Linked DNA regions of Drosophila melanogaster. The protein of the gene in region 2 interacts with the protein of the main gene of each other region in a pairwise test. Each region holds a gene or a part of one and is shown on either strand. Other genes may lie near its edges.

Region 1 (7,649 bases), on a different chromosome or scaffold from region 2:
AACAGCAGCAGCAACAGCAGCACTTTGCCCTCCAGCAGCAACATATGCAACAGCAGCAGCATCAAATGGGCCACCCATGGCCACCGTTTCCAGGACATCCCGGACATCCTACTCCACACCCCGGGTTCGCCAGCTTCAACGACTTTTATTTCGAGCGGCATCAACAGCAAATGCAACAGCAACTCCAGCAGCAGCAGCAGATGCAACAGTTTCCACCCACTATGCCACCTCAAAGGGAACCCTTTCAGCCCCAATTGCCGCCAAATGTTCCACCGCAGCGGGCCAGTCCCTTCCAGCCCGTTCAGTTGGCCAAGAGACCCAAAATGGAGTCACCCGATGATGACGAAGTGCAAGAGATTAACTCAGCGGTGAACTCACCACCATATCCGCTAGCAGAATCAACCTTAACCAGCAAGCACAGTCGAAGTTCCAGTCCCAACGAGCAGAACAACAATAATAGCGGGGGAAGAGACAGTGCCAGCAGCAAGGAGAACGCCCCCAAGGGAGGCGGAACAAGTGGCAAATCCACGCCTGCCCTTTCTTCCAAGGGAAAGGACTCACCTGCACCAGCTCGAGCTGCGTCCACCAAACCCGCCTCTGCTCCCGCCTCGCCAAAAAAGATCCCCAATGGATCCAGCTCCTCCGGCAGCCAAACCAATGGACACACATCCCCAGACCCCGAGGATAAGAAGGCTTTATGCATGCTGAAGGAGTTGGAAAGCTACCACCAGGCCTTGGAGTACCTAAAACCGCTGGAGGACTTCGTGCTCTTCAAGGAGAACTTTCGGGCTATTGGCTTGCTGTCCCAATTGGAACTGGTGCTCCGAAAAGGGGACAAGGCCACACTGGTCGAGGGTTAAGAGTTTTCTAATCGCGGACCAGGACAGCACAAAACATAAATGTGATGAACAGTGTACATATGTATCATGTAGTATTATTAAATCGTACTACCGCCAAAACAGTTGCTTAGGTTAACAAAGAATCTCCACTCGCATAAAGCTGAACCTAATTAATTAATTTATTAATTACTCTAAGTACAATAAAATGGAATTTATAAAATAATAGATATGTTTGTGTTTTATTTACGTATTTAAAACGGAAGTTGGTTTTATCTGAGTTCTTACGAGAATATTGTAGTCCTTGAAGTTGGCAGTGTTTTTTACATGAGTATGGCAACGCTGACTCGAAATCAGAGTGACCACGACTTAAAAGTATTTATAGATTGCTGTATTACTGTTCACCTCATGACTCGGCCACACTTGGACAATGTTTACTTCTTTTCTTCGATAAATCTGTAATTTTCGCGAACTAAAACAGAACAAATACCATAAACAACTGAATAAGGTAGAATAAAAACCGCACAAATGTCGCTTCTGGAGCAATACGAACAGCAATACGCCACGTTAATAGCAGAAATAACGGCCCATATTGGACGGCTGCAGCAGCAAAACAACAACAGTGAGTGGGATGATTGTCCATGGATTGTACATTATGGTGATTACCATTTGTCCATTTACTCCAGGCGAGCGCCATGATTTGTGCAGCAAGATCGACTCCAGTTTGCCCGAGGCTCAGGAATTGCTGGAGCAGATGGGTCTGGAGGTGAGGGAGCTAAATCCTGGACTGCGGAGCAGCTTCAACGGAAAGCTGCAGGTGGCCCAGGCAGAACTGAAACGGCTGCAGGCGGAGTACAGGTTGACCAAGGACAAACAGCGCTCCCAAGCCAACACATTCACCACTCTGGACTTGGGTGACAGCTATGAGGATGTGTCCATAAGTACAGATCAACGCCAACGCCTCTTGGACAACTCGGAAAGGATTGAACGGACGGGCAACAGGTTAACCGAAGGGTACAGAGTGGCCTTGGAGACGGAGCAACTGGGCGCCCAGGTCCTAAATGATCTGCACCACCAAAGGGAAACTCTACAGGGAGCCAGGGCTCGACTTCGAGAAACCAATGCCGAGCTGGGAAGAGCTTCTCGCACTCTGAATACCATGATGTTAAGAGCCCTGCGGGAGAAGGTGGTCTTGTATGGAGTGGGTGTCTGCTTTGTGGTGGCCGTGGGCGTCAGTCTCTATCTGACCTTCGCACCCAGTTCAAGCAGCACCGCCTCGTCGTAGTAATTTTAGCTAGCAAACCAATAGCCAATGATCTTAGCCCAAATTCAAATGTTATAGAAGCCTGTCCATTCCAATTTCGTGAGTTGATTATTTATTGTTTAGTATATTTTATTTTTACGAGATATTCTGTGGAAGAAAGCTGCAGATTACGCACTAATCTATATAAGATAGGATGGAGTATTACGTGCAATAAGAGTCGAAGCTTAGAGTAGTTATCTGCGGTCAATCGATGTCTATATATTTTGTTGTCCTTTTACCTTTAAGATTAAATTGACCTTCTTGTTAATCGATGGAATTCCTATTACTTTTTAATTCTTACCGCAGATTTCTAACCTATCACTCGCGTATCCGCCATCCTAGCTTACGTGTACAAAGTTTAAGTGGTTAATGTTTGGCGCCTGGTTAATAGAAACTAATCCTACTCTATGACTCGTGTTCGCGTTCGGGACGTATTTTTCGTAAAAATTCGAATTGAACATGTACGTATCTAAAAATCATAACATAGCCGAAAGCTATCAATAAATAAAGGAAACAGTAAAAATGCATCTCTGCGTGAGCATTGAGCCTGGCGGGAATAAGGGTTCCTAGCCGAACTCAATGTTCCCCAACTGCTAGCAGCCGCAGGAGGAGGCGTCCTCCTCGTTGGTCGCCGCGCCGCTGCTCGCAGTGTCCACCTGGAAGCTCTTGTGCTCCAGTGCCTGCAGTTCCATTTTGGAGCGATTGGCGTGGACCAGTTGCCTAGAGATGTCACGGAACATCTCCTCCACACCGGCGCCGCTGCGACAGGAGGTCTTGTACGTGGCACTGATCAGTGAGTGGCACTGCTCGCAGAAGGCCTCCACTTCCTCATCGCTGACCTCCGGCTCCCTGCCATCCAGATCGCTCTTATTGCCACAGATGAAGATCTTGGCATTCTCTGCATAGGTCACAATGTCCAGCAAGTGCTGCGACAGCGAGTGGAACGAAGCGGCGTTGTCCAAAGCAAAGACCAGGATGGCTCCCTCGGCGAACTTGTAGTACGAGGATGTGACCGAGGCCACACGCTCCATGCCACCGGTGTCCCAGAGTTGGAGCTGTCAAAGAAGACGGTATATACATAAGTGTCTCACAACGCAATAAGTTGTAAGTCTGAAGAACTGTGGCTTTCGTCTAGAAATCGAACTAAAGAGCTTAAGGATTCATATCTCAGCCATCACGCCCTTTTAGAGGTTCCCGAGCCCACCTTGATCTGCTTTTCATTCACACTGTATTCCCTATCGATGTGGTCCAGTCCCAACGTGGATTTCCTGTCCGTATCCGTGATGAAGGTGTTGGTGGCGAAGCGCCGGAACAGGGAGCTCTTGCCCACTCCGTAGTCGCCGCACAGGATCACCTTTTGTTTGGGTATGCGCATCGTGGCCATGGCTGTGATCGCTCGATTAATCCCAAGTTAATCCAATTAATATATTATTTTGCACCTGCAGACACAAAGGCGACAACAACAGTGCGACAACAGCTGTTTGTGCAAAAACAGCCAACATCGCAGAGTTGCCAGCCATTTGAACGCTATCGATAACCGATAATTCGAGTTATTCGAATTCAAATGGTCTTATCAGTTGAGATCTGCATTTGGTTTTAGTTTAGGCAAAACAATTCCACCCATTATAATAATAATATACAATATTGTAAAATTGTTTATGAAAAAGGGATTATTTATGGAGGAAGTTATCGTTTCAACATTAGTTGTACCTAAATATACGTACATAAACAGATATTCAACTTCTTTTTAAAAGGGAATATACAAATTCAAAAATGATTATCATCCCTCTTCTGAATGATTGAAAGAACCAGATCGATAGAAGTTATCATTTTTGAAAAACTATTATCTGATGTCAAGTTCTGCTGATAGTGCTGTACCCGTTAAATAAGCCCGTGCGCTTGAGTATCACTTTCAGTTGAAAATGTCGATTCGGTTGGTAGCACTCCTGGCATTGTTCGCCGCCTTGGCGCATGGTAAGAATCGTAAATCGAGCGCTATCTCTGAAATGTGGTAATCTTTAAATGAACTAATGGCGCATCCTAGGCAAACCCGGATACGGTCCCGGAGAGCAGGACTGGGGCTACGTAGATGTGCGTCCCGGTGCCCACATGTTCTACTGGCTGTACTACACCACCGCCAATGTTTCGAGCTATACCGAAAGACCATTAGCCATTTGGCTCCAAGGAGGTCCCGGTGCCTCTTCGACGGGGTATGGAAACTTTGAAGAACTTGGGCCCGTCGATTTGTACGGAGATTGGCGCAGCTGGACCTGGGTGAAGGACATGAATGTCCTCTTTATTGACAACCCCGTAGGCAGTGGTTTTAGCTACGTGGACAACACGGCCTTTTACACGGCCACCAATAAGGAGATCGCTCTAGATTTGGTTGAGCTGATGAAGGGATTCTATACCCTGCATCCAGAGTTCGAGGAGGTGCCGCTGCATATATTCTGCGAGAGTTACGGTGGAAAGATGGCGCCGGAGTTTGCACTCGAACTGTACTACGCCAAGAAGCGTGGTGAGGTCAAGAGCAACCTTACCTCGGTGGCTTTGGGGGATCCATGGACCTCGCCCATCGACTCCGTGCTCGCATGGGGACCTTTTCTCAGAGAAATGGGAATCGTGGACCACGCGGGATACAATGCCATTCAAGAGGCAGCGAACTTCACGGCTCAGTTGGTGGAGGAGGAGCGATGGATTCAGGCCACCTATCAGTGGGGCAACACCCAGTGGGAGGTGATGAAAGCCTCCAAGGGTGTGGACTTCTACAACGTGCTGAAGGAGACAAAGGGTGGTCTCTACCAGAGATCAAAGGCCTTGACCTCCGAAGGTGAACCAAATACTTCGATACGATATTTTTCAAACCATGATATTTCCCTGCAGAACGTCTGTATCGCACCATGGTGAAATACGATATTGATGAGGATCGAACCAAGTTACTGGAGGATCTGATGCGGGGCCCGGTGGCGGAAACCCTGGGTATACCTTCGAATGTCATCTGGGGATCGCAGAGTGGGACCACTTTTGACATCCACAGAACGGACTTCATGAAGCCAGTCATCCACATTGGTAGGGATATTACTTCTTATATAACGAAAGCGTCTGACATCCATTGAATGACAGTGAACGAATTGCTGGAGAAGACTCCTCTGAAGGTCGGCGTATTCTCCGGTGGCCTGGATTTGATTTGCGCCACACCGGGCACCGTCAACTGGATAGCCAAGCTGGACTGGAGCCGAAAGGACGAGTACCTGGCTGCTCCACGCAATGGCATCACGGTGGATCGCATCTTGGAGGGCTATCAAAAGACGGGCGGTAACTTTACCATGTTCTGGATCAACCGAAGTGGTCACATGGCTCCGGCGGACAACCCTGCGGCTATGAGTCATGTACTTCGAGAGTTTACCTCATTTGGCTAAATTCATTTAAATTGAATTATAATAAACTCAGTATGCAAGCCAGTTGTATACTATATTCGTCTAAAAATAGAGGAGTGTTTTACTGAAAGTATATAATGTAAATCGTAATGGATTTTTTGCTTATAGAAGCTGGGGAAGTTATCCTATTAGTTATTTTGATAAATGTCAAATGTATGTCTTAATCTGCTCTTTAAAAAGCAATGCCCAGAATTGATGCATATATGATTATATGAACACCTAAAAATAATATAGTCAATCAATCAAAGAATGCTGATGATTTAAAAAGAGTTTTTGGGAGACACCTTAGATATCTTTCACGCATGTCACGTGGGATAAACCGCAAGTGATACCGAAAAATAATAGGAAAAGCCCTCGGAAAACCCACTCAAGATAGCAAAGTGCAATCTTTGCGATGATTTTGGAGCTTCATAGGCTCTATCTAAATATATGACACAAAGATTCGGCAAATCGGACGAGTGACAAGCACAGATTGACCAAAAAGCCGCGTCACCGTCCAGCGAAGGGCCATAAATACTCTGCAAACACAGTTCCCCTGCCCGCAGATTACGAATTCCAGGTGTGTCAGGTGCTGGCTGTTGCTATTTTACCTTCGATGTCTGGGAGCAACCAGCGATCAATTGGCAGTGGAACTGCCAAGTGTGCGGTTGTCTCTCGATCGGTGTCTCTTGGAATTGGAACTGAAACACTGGTGCAACATGGCTGGACGCGCTATCATCGCACTTTTGGCCCTACTGGGATTTGCCGGCTTGGCTTCCGTTGACGGTGAGAATCGTGATTTGTATTCCAATTAGGGGTGCTAATCAGTGAGAAAGTGTTCCAAAACAAACGGTTCTTTACGACTTGTAGAACAGGCCAACAGAATTATCTGTTACAGACTTTTTTACCTACTTTTATATCCGTAGATTGAAATACTTATGAATCGTTTGGGGACAGACCTTATTACCATTGTAAAAGATACAGTGACCAACCGCTATTCGGTTTGTTATAAGACAATACAATCAACTATCTACACTATCTATAACAATTAATCTTATCTAAATGGCTACTCGTGCAGCCGTTTAATATACTTAAAGGCTAGATTTCTCAAGTGTTCCCTAGAAATCAGGGGCTATCATGAAATTACAAAATCAAAGAGCTTTGTATATTAATAACTATTTAATCGAAATGAGCTATAATTCAATATACTCTCAGCACGCAAGGGCTATGGACCCGGTGATCAGGATTGGGGATTTGTGGATGTCAGGACTGGCGCCCACATGTTCTACTGGCTGTACTACACCACCGCCAATGTCTCCAGTTACACGGAGCGTCCGCTGGCCATTTGGCTCCAAGGAGGTCCAGGTGCCTCCTCAACGGGATACGGAAACTTTGAGGAGTTGGGTCCCCTGAAGCTCGACGGCAGCTACCGCGACTGGACTTGGGTGAAGGACATGAACGTGATGTTCATCGACAATCCCGTGGGCAGTGGTTTCAGCTACGTGGACGGATCTTCTTACTACACGACCAACAACAAGCAGATCGCCCTGGATCTCGTTGAGCTGATGAAGGGCTTCTACACAAACCACCCGGAATTCAAGACTGTGCCGCTGCACATCTTCTGCGAGAGTTATGGCGGAAAGATGGCCCCGGAGTTCGCTTTGGAGTTGGATTACGCCATCAAGCGCGGTGAGATCGAGAGCAACTTTGTTTCGGTGGCCTTGGGAGATCCCTGGACCTCACCCATAGACTCTGTGCTCTCGTGGGCTCCCTTCCTGCTGCAGTTGGGAATCGTGGATCAGGATGGCCATGACAAGATTGAAGCTTCGGCCCTGAAGACTAAGGACTATGTTGACCGCGAGAAGTGGACACAGGCCACTTTGCAGTGGAGCTCCACCCAGTCAGTGGTGCTGCGCGAGTCCAAGGGAGTGGACTTCTATAACGTGGAGACCCCAACATTGGGTGATCAGTACAGGTTGATGTCCAGAGCTGCCATGACTCCGGAGGGTAAGATCCGTTGCGTAACTTACCGAGCTGATTCTCATCAACCACTTATCCAGAGGTCATGTATCGCACCCTCGTGAAATTCGATGT
Region 2 (8,320 bases):
GCCAATCAAATCCCTTTCCGGTTTGTGCTTGCTTTTGGGACCGGGCATAACAACGTCCGACTCAAATCCGCTGGGAAATAGGAGCATTGCAAGGGCGGCATCATGTTCCCGAAACTTGTTGATCAGCGGATATAGGCTGACATTGCTGACCAGGTCGCAGCTGACCACCAGAAAGTCCGACTTGATCTTATCGTATATGTAGCGCAGACTGTCGGCAGTTCCGAAATCCCCGTCACTAGGAATCGTGGCATAGTCCAGTCTCAGCTTTAAGGGAGTGTTTTCCAGAGCAGATTGGATCTCTAGTTTTTCTTGCTCCAGTACCACAACAATGACCTCTGAAATATTTTTCAATTAAATCCAGGTTTTTAATTCAGACTATCCGAATTACCTGTAAAGTTGTGTTGTTGCAGCAGATTTAAGGGATACCAAATCAGAGGATATGGACCCACCGGCAGCAGGCATTTGGGGGCATCCCCCAAGACCTCGGGTAGACGAGTGCCACGCCCAGCGGCAAAAACTACGGCCTGGAACTCGGTCATTGTTTCACAAAAATATAAATAATTTCGGCTAAAAAGCGTGCAAGCACAAAAAGAGCCACGCAAACAGCTGATCCAATGCAAGCGAAACACCTACGAGCGCTGTCCAACACTGCTTCCAATCAGACATATGTTTGCTGTCATGTGACTGTGCAATTGTTTTTGTTGCTTTTGCTATTGTATAAAACAAGTCAGATGACCCTTTTTGCAATGAAAATTCCCTTTTTCCACTTAATTATTACACAGAATGCACATCGTATGATACAACAAGACTTTAATGCATGATTTGCGCAGCTTACACTACACTACAAAAATGGAATACATACTTTTCTGCTTATTGGAATAGTCTACACACTTTTGCTACATAGGTACAATTAAGTTTGTGGCTTGCCCTTTGCGAATTACAATATGGAAACGGATACAGAACAGAAAATAGTTTAACAATAATATTGCTGGAATAAACACATCCAAGGTAATACTTAGAACAGCACGTCGTCATCGCCCTCATCCAGGATATTGGCCTGCTGGCGCACATCGATGCCCTGCTGCAGCAACTCCGCCTTCTTGGCGTCGGCCTTGATGCGTGCCTCGCGCTTCTTGTCCTGGATCTTCTTCAGTCGGTAGAACTCCTCACGCTCGAGCTCGTCCAGCTCCGAGATGATGTAGGCCAAAGTCCTATCGATTCGGGGGATGATCACATGCTCAATGGCGTTCACACGACGGTTGGTGATCTTGATCACCTCGTCCAGGGTGACGAATGAGGTCTGCAGCGAGGCCAGCTCCACGAGCAGTTTAACGGCGCTTTGGTAGTTCTTCTTCAGCTTGGCCAGCTGCTGACCACCACGGGCTAGACCGGCCAGTTCGTAGGTGTCGGATCCGTCCTGGTAGGACTCGAAAACGGGCAGAGTGACACCAGCCACGTTGTCCTTCTTGGTGCGGATCTTGATCTGGGCCTTGGTCACGTTTTGCAGCACCACTTGGTTGATGTCGCCAGACGTGAATTTGGCCTCCGCCAGCGAGAAGGCTGCCTCTTTCATAACATCACCCATCAGGGTCTTGGTCTCGATGATCTTGCCCAGAATCAAACGGAATCGCATCTGCAGGGCATCCGCCTTCTTCTTGAGCAGACCGTGACCTTTCTGGGCTCCAGCCAGACGGGCCTTCATCAACATCTGGGCACCACGGGACGGGAAAATCGGTAGCCTATCTTTTCCGGACATTTTGCTGTTTTTTTCGGATGGTAATTGGCTGGACTAAACAATTTTCAACTGCGTATCAAGAAAACTGCAACCGTCGCAGAACACTGAAAAACTCCAACTGGAAAATGACGGATGACAGTGTTGGCTACTGCCCGTAGCCAATCGATAACCAGTTGGTGCTGGGTAGTGCGCTTAGATACAGTACTGCAAAATACGCAGCCACAGCTGATTTTGCATTTAAAAGTAAACAAATCTAATAAATTCCATTTCTTTATTGGATTTATAATGCTTCTGCAACGCGTGTGGTTGACACATTTAAACAACCATCTACGCCAATACGCGAACAAGTCGCGAGCCCACATCAAACCAGCCATGGCCGTGAGCATGCGGATGGTCCATCAGGAGATCCTGCATTATGTAAACCCCTTTGCCAGGATCAACGTGAAGTCCGATGTTTTCCTGCGCATCCAGCCCGCGGATGTGCATCAGTATACCAGCGGGGATGTGTTTATCGCCCAACTGGTTGGCGGCCATGTCAAGAACTCGAATGTCTCTCTCGATGTGAAGGTAACCGATGAGGACAAGGTGGTCAATGTGGTGGTTAAACAACTGGCGGAGCAGCCCTCAAAGCTTGAATGCCATCTGCAAATACCTGTGCGTTCCGATGTCTCTGTGGACGCAAAAGGTAGTGTGCGAGTGGAAGGCATACAGAGTGAACTGCTGCAAGTCAAAGCAAAGGAAGGCATCCTTACCAAAAATATCAAGGCCACCCATATAAACTTGTACAGTGAAAATGGCAACATCAATTGCCAGGGCACATTGCTGGGCAAGATTACCCAAATAGAGTCACAAAATGGGGTGAGAAAAAATTTACTATCAATCTGATCTTATTATTAACCTTTATATTTCTTTTTTAGAACATTGCGATGGATAAGTTGCAAGGAGACAGCTTGAATTGTTCCACCAAAGCTGGCAGTATTGTAACCGATTGTTGTTATGTGGAAAAGTCAAAGTTTCAGACACAAACTGGGCGTCTGGAGCTCAAGAATGTCCACAAAAGCAGCGAAGTGCACGTCCATCAGTCGTCGGATCTCAATATGAGTATGCGAAACAACGAAGAATAACACCATCATGCTAAAAACTTTCAATTTCAGCTGGAGTACATGGCAATATTCAAATAACTACCAAAGGAGGAAATTTAAATGTCCAACTCTCTGAGCTAGTGGGGAGCAACAAAATCGACGCCGAGAACTTATTAGAAGAGGCTATCATACACATTTCCCAAGCCATAGAGCAGAATCTTCACATCGAGGTAACAGCCCCCGAAGTGAAATTGGAAAACGAACTGGAGCATGTAGCCCATGCTCTCAACGAGAGCAAGAACAAATTCGTGCTAAGCAATCCAAATACAAATCGACTGGAAGTAAGCAGCACAGGCGACAAGGGCGTGCGCCTGGGAAAACAGTCATGGAGCGATATGATGCGTAATAAGTTGAAGGCTACCGGCACCTTGGACGATTTACCTTAGGTAAAGACAGAGACTAACTAAGTTAAGAATATATTGTGCTGCAAGCTACAATCTCAGTCATTTTTGCTTTATCCATCATGGAGGCATGTTGTTTAGGCTTGGCCCGACTCCTTAGCCACTTTATCCTTTAAGCATTCAAGTGCCCTTGAGAAAATGGCTTCTTCCTTTCCGGCTTTGAGTGCAGACACAAACAGTTGCACCTTTTCATCGCCAATCTCTTGGAGATCCGAGTTTTCCGCTTTTATCACCATACATGCCAACAGGCGCAGCAACTTCAAGGCGTTCTCCACATACTGCTCCTTTGGAGCGTCATCCTCCTCCTCTTCGTCCTCTTCGAACTCATTGGCGTCGGGATCACTTCCCCCCGTGTAGTTGTCAATGTGCTGTTTAAGTCTATACCACAATTCCAAAAGATTTAAGAAGGCCTCCTTGTGATAGAAGTACTTCAGGCGCTGCAAAAATAAATATTTAAATAGAACGTCGAATATTAAGTATCTTTTCCAAACTTACACTCCAAATGTGCGCCAGATCCTCGAGATACTCCTCCTGGCGTTCGCCTAATGGAATGAGTTGCAGAGGCTGCTGCAAAAACTGCAGTATTCGCGCTAGACAACTGACTATACTGGGTGCATACACATCCATGGAGGCCTGCGCCTCTGGCAGTTGGACCAGAATGGTGCATATATTGAGGTAGGTTTGTATGATCTCCACATCACAGGTTATTTTTGGTCCGCACGAGTCGTAACCGACGTCGGCATCTTCATCACTGTCGTGGGCCGCTGGCACTTCTGCATCTTCGTTGTCCTCGCCAGCTTCCTCGTCGGTCAATTTTGTCTGATCATCGCGCATGAGTCGCAAAAACGCGCTATTGACCCCCTCGCAGAGTTCTGGCACTAGAAAGACCTCCGCAAAAGGCTTTAGATTCAACGTGGAGTTTGCGTTTTCCTCCTCCACCAAGGCGCAACTGGCCAGCACAGCATTTGTGGCCTTCAGTGCAGCTACTAGCAGTTCATCGCTAACGGACAGTTGCAATATCCTGCCCAGGTTCTGCGCGGAGTTCTCAAAGGCAGCAAAGCAGATGTACCAGTTCACAGCGAACTTCTCCTTGCCGCTAAGCACATGGGCCATGATGTACTGAAAGAGTCGCATCAGCTGTATCAACATGGCGGTGTCCATGCAGTATGTCATCTTGAACAGGGTTTCCAACGTGTAGCGGTCACAGGCCAATATCTCTGCGCACTCCACCTGGGCGCACATATTGCCCAGCAGTCCGATAAGAATCTCGTAGAGCCGCACATCTTCACAGCCCGCCACCAGGGTGTACATGATCGGATCAATGGCTCCGTTCTCCAGCAGCAGTGTGACCACTTCGGGGGACACCGACATGTCCCACACTTTGCACAGGTCATCCTCCAGCTGCTGATCCAGTGTTGAATGCCGCAGTAATTCTCCCACCCTCATCACCGTTTTCAGGATGAATCGACTGCTGTACATGGTGTTGCCGACTGCATCGCCGCGCATACGCTCCAGCAGCTCCGCCTCCTCGGCGTCTTCCTGGGCGGGTGGGGGCGTGGTCGAGGCGCTACTGGCGCTGGCAGAGGCGGAGGCGTATGCGTCGCTTTCCTTGTGATTCGAGTTTTCCGCGGATGGCACATCGTTTTGCTTGGCGGCCACCGCAAGACCACTCGCCGATGGCTCCGCTTCTTCCTTGGGCATTTCGATCTGGATCCGGGTCTGGGCAAACTGTTTAACGGGTTCGTTTGGCAGAATGCAGAATGGCAGTGGTACTAATCAATATATTTTGGACAAGATCTTTTTTTTTAGACGCTGTCAGTGGGTCCGTTGGTTCTTTCATAAAAAATACCTTAAGCTTTGGAAAAGTCAGTTCGGAAAAGCTCGGTATCTAAATCACTTTTACATAAGCAGGTCACACTTTCTCGCACTTCGGTGGGTTGATCGTTTAAATATATTGCTCAAATGTGTGATACTTCTGAACTGGGAAAGTTAGTCAGCTGGTTAACAATATCAGTTTACAACTTAAAACAACCAAAACTACCTTTAACTTCTTTGAAAGCAACCAAAAGTGTGGATTTCATTAGTTAGTGAAGGTGCAAACCTAATCATCACCACACGTTGTGGAATCCAATGGAATCCACAAGGAAATTTAAAACATTGGCGCCTACACTTATTAAATATCGTATTATTAGTATGTTTGTTACTAAATTCAAAAATTCCAACAGCAACGTTGCTATAATATTATTCTTTTAATATTATATCTAAATTCGAAAATTCCAATAAAAGATAACATTATTTTATAACCATAACTTTCTATTAATAAATGACTTAGATGTAATGCTAACAATGAAAGGTAATCACAGTTTATGAGGTTTTTGGTTTTCCCTTGAGCAGCAAACTAGACAGATTGCTGTAGGGCAGCTCAAAAGCCAGCGAAAAGGCGATGGAGGCCAGATAAACGATCATCGTAAACCCGCAGCAGATGACGCTCTAAAGAAACAACTCAATATTATTAAAAAGCAAAATCAAATGAGAATGCAACTTACCAGCAGAAAGGGATCAACTGCAGAGCTCGTACTGGTCAGACTGTAAACGAGGGCAATCACCAGGGGATTTAATAGATATATGGCGTAGGACAGGCGGTTCAAATGCTGAAAGAACTTGGCCTCCAGCAGGCGTGACCACCAAACGCCAGTACCCGATGCACTGCCCACGATCATCCAGCAAATGGTGAGGGAAAACAGAGCGCGACCCAGAACAAATAGCGATATGGTGATAAGGTAACCCAGATCCCGCTTCACCGTAGAGTAGATGCAGCCCACGAACACCTTGAGACTGAAATGCCACCACCGGCATATCCGGCGTTCACTCAGCTCACTCACTTGGAATCGCTGCTCCTGGTAATACCATGCGGCTATGGCTCCCACGATATAGGGCAAAACTCTTACAAAGGGACTCGTGTATATCTGAGTGCCAGTCGCATAGGTGGAGTCGAAGGAGAACTCGAACTTCTTGGCGATTCCAATGCCGTAGGACCACGTTATCGTGCCCATTAGTCCAGTGAGTGTAATTGCCTTGGCTAGCTTTTCATGCCTGGATAGAAATATAATGAAAATAATAATATATTTCCTTGCGATTTTAAATCCAAACTCACTTGGCGTAAATAAAGAGCACGATGTTTGCCAGCAGGAAGAACTGCATGTCGCAGGCGAGGCTCCAACTCCAATTGGCGCACATTTCGCGGTGATCGAAGAGGTTCTGGATGAAGAGTAGATTCCTCCACCAGTGCTGTGGGCACAACTCGTCGAATCTCTCGTTGATGTGGAAAACGGAAACGTCTCCGATGTAGGCGAAGGCCAAGTCCACGCTGCCCATCACCACCAAGTAGAGAGGACCCAATCTCAGGTAGCGATGGAACAGCAGCTTGCCAAAGAGCTTCACATTGCCCCACAGGCCATTGCGACGCACTGCGTCCAGCTGCTGCTCATTTCTCAGGAAGTTGTACGTTTGCAAAAAGCCACTGGACAATTTTTTGTTTTCAAATGGATCAGCAAAATACATTAGATAATCGAATGATTATATTTACCTGATGGTAAAGAAGACGTCCACGAGAAGTGGAGCTGTGGAGACGTACTGGAAGAAGACCTGTTCCGCATAGGATATCAGTACCGTTTTGTTGTGCACAGTGAAGTACATGTACCACACGACATGGAAGATCAGAATCCAGATGGCACACACCGATCGCAGACCATTCATAATGGGAATCTCGCCTGGCTGGTTCTCCCTCATGGCGGAGATCTTCCGCCAGTTATTGGCCACATCGAAACAGGACACGAAACTCTGAAAAGGCTGCCACTTCAAGAGGGTATCCAGTGCCTGCCACAACTCTGATTCCACCGGAGCCAGACCCAGATCCGGCTCATCGGCCCTCTTGGCCACCCGCACTTGCTGGGCGCAGAGCATTAGGGCACCGGTTACCAGGATGGCGGCCACCACCAAACGGAAGGTCAGCCTCTGGTAGAAGCGTTCGCTCAGCCGGAGGTCCTTCATGTAGAGCACCTCCGGCTTCATATCGAACATATCATCCGCGGCGAACAAATCTCCGGCCACATAATACCTGGCCAGCTGCTTCACCTCCTCGGAGCTGCAGGAGCTGGGCAGGCACAATCCAATGTGGAGCACCTGTTCGGACATCACCTTAATCTCCACCTGCCACGGTGAGCGGTGGCGCATGTATATCACGCGGTAGTCCATCCCAAAGGGAGCACTTTGCGTGAGGATGCTGTAGTGCATTACTCGCTCGTAGTTCCGCGACAAGGTGATGCCTACGGGCCGACGGACACCTTCACATCCATCCCGACTGCCCAGCCAGTAGTTCTGGCCGAACACAAAGCCGGATGGCTTGGTTCCCGACGCATCTAAAACTAAAGATATACGGAAAATTATATTGTATATATTTATATATATACTAAAAGTTCTGGTCACTCACCCTTCATGGCCCATGGTTGCCTGCTGAGGATTCCCCGCTGCACTTGCTTCAAGTGGGCGTAGCAGCTGGGAGTCACATTGCTCTCGTTGGCCACTTTGGTAAGCCCGAAGATGACGGAGCTCCTGGTGAGATGGGGTTCATGCGGTGATTCGATGGCAGCTGCTTCTTTTCCCCGAATATCCGTTGAGATAATTTCTGGGGACAACTCCAGGCTGCCGTTGAGAAATCCGTACTCGTAGCGGTGCCGTCGCAAAGTGGACTCATTCACGGCTGCATTCACCACTAAAATCCAGATGCTGATGATCAAGACCAATCTCCAGTGCTTTTCCATGCCGAGGAACCGCTAACGAAGCGGCAGCTGTGAAAAGTAAGAGGTGTTTAATTGTTGACCCGTCAATACGAACGCACTCGAGTTACGAAAAGCAAACCGAGTTGGACCTTAAGTTACGTCTACTTCCTACCGGAAAAAATTTACGAGACGCGTAACGAAGTAATGATGTTTTTCAAATTAGTTAACCCTTTAAGATCCCAATCAATTTATTTCCTAATTTCT

What was found.
Region 1: the proteins of CG30467 (region 2) and RabX6 interact in a two-hybrid assay, tested with the Drosophila melanogaster proteins (one large-scale study listed by BioGRID).

The regions. Positions count from the first base shown.
Region 1 is NT_037436.4:686,494-694,142, reverse strand, and holds RabX6 (RabX6), read right to left. Parts: upstream 3,627-7,649; 5' UTR 3,524-3,626; coding exon 3,344-3,523; intron 3,195-3,343; coding exon 2,733-3,194; coding exon of another isoform or gene 2,706-2,732; 3' UTR 2,192-2,705; downstream 1-2,191. Other genes in the region: CG13894 (uncharacterized protein), read left to right, coding at 1-860; Vti1a (vesicle transport through interaction with t-SNAREs 1a), read left to right, coding at 1,365-1,458, 1,523-2,121; CG32483 (uncharacterized protein), read left to right, coding at 4,062-4,113, 4,184-4,969, 5,023-5,208, 5,263-5,558; hiro (highroad), read left to right, coding at 6,275-6,341, 6,771-7,562, 7,616-7,649.
Region 2 is NT_033778.4:15,534,973-15,543,292, reverse strand, and holds CG30467 (uncharacterized protein), read right to left. Parts: upstream 5,119-8,320; 5' UTR 4,980-5,118; coding exon 3,774-4,979; intron 3,740-3,773; exon of another isoform or gene 3,716-3,739; coding exon 3,356-3,715; 3' UTR 3,279-3,355; downstream 1-3,278. Other genes in the region: eIF2Bgamma (eukaryotic translation initiation factor 2B subunit gamma), read right to left, coding at 1-335, 389-539; Vha36-1 (vacuolar H[+] ATPase 36kD subunit 1), read right to left, coding at 1,016-1,756; CG8187 (uncharacterized protein), read left to right, coding at 2,021-2,593, 2,653-2,836, 2,890-3,263; CG30471 (uncharacterized protein), read right to left, coding at 5,643-5,768, 5,825-6,371, 6,433-6,798, 6,865-7,702, 7,768-8,098.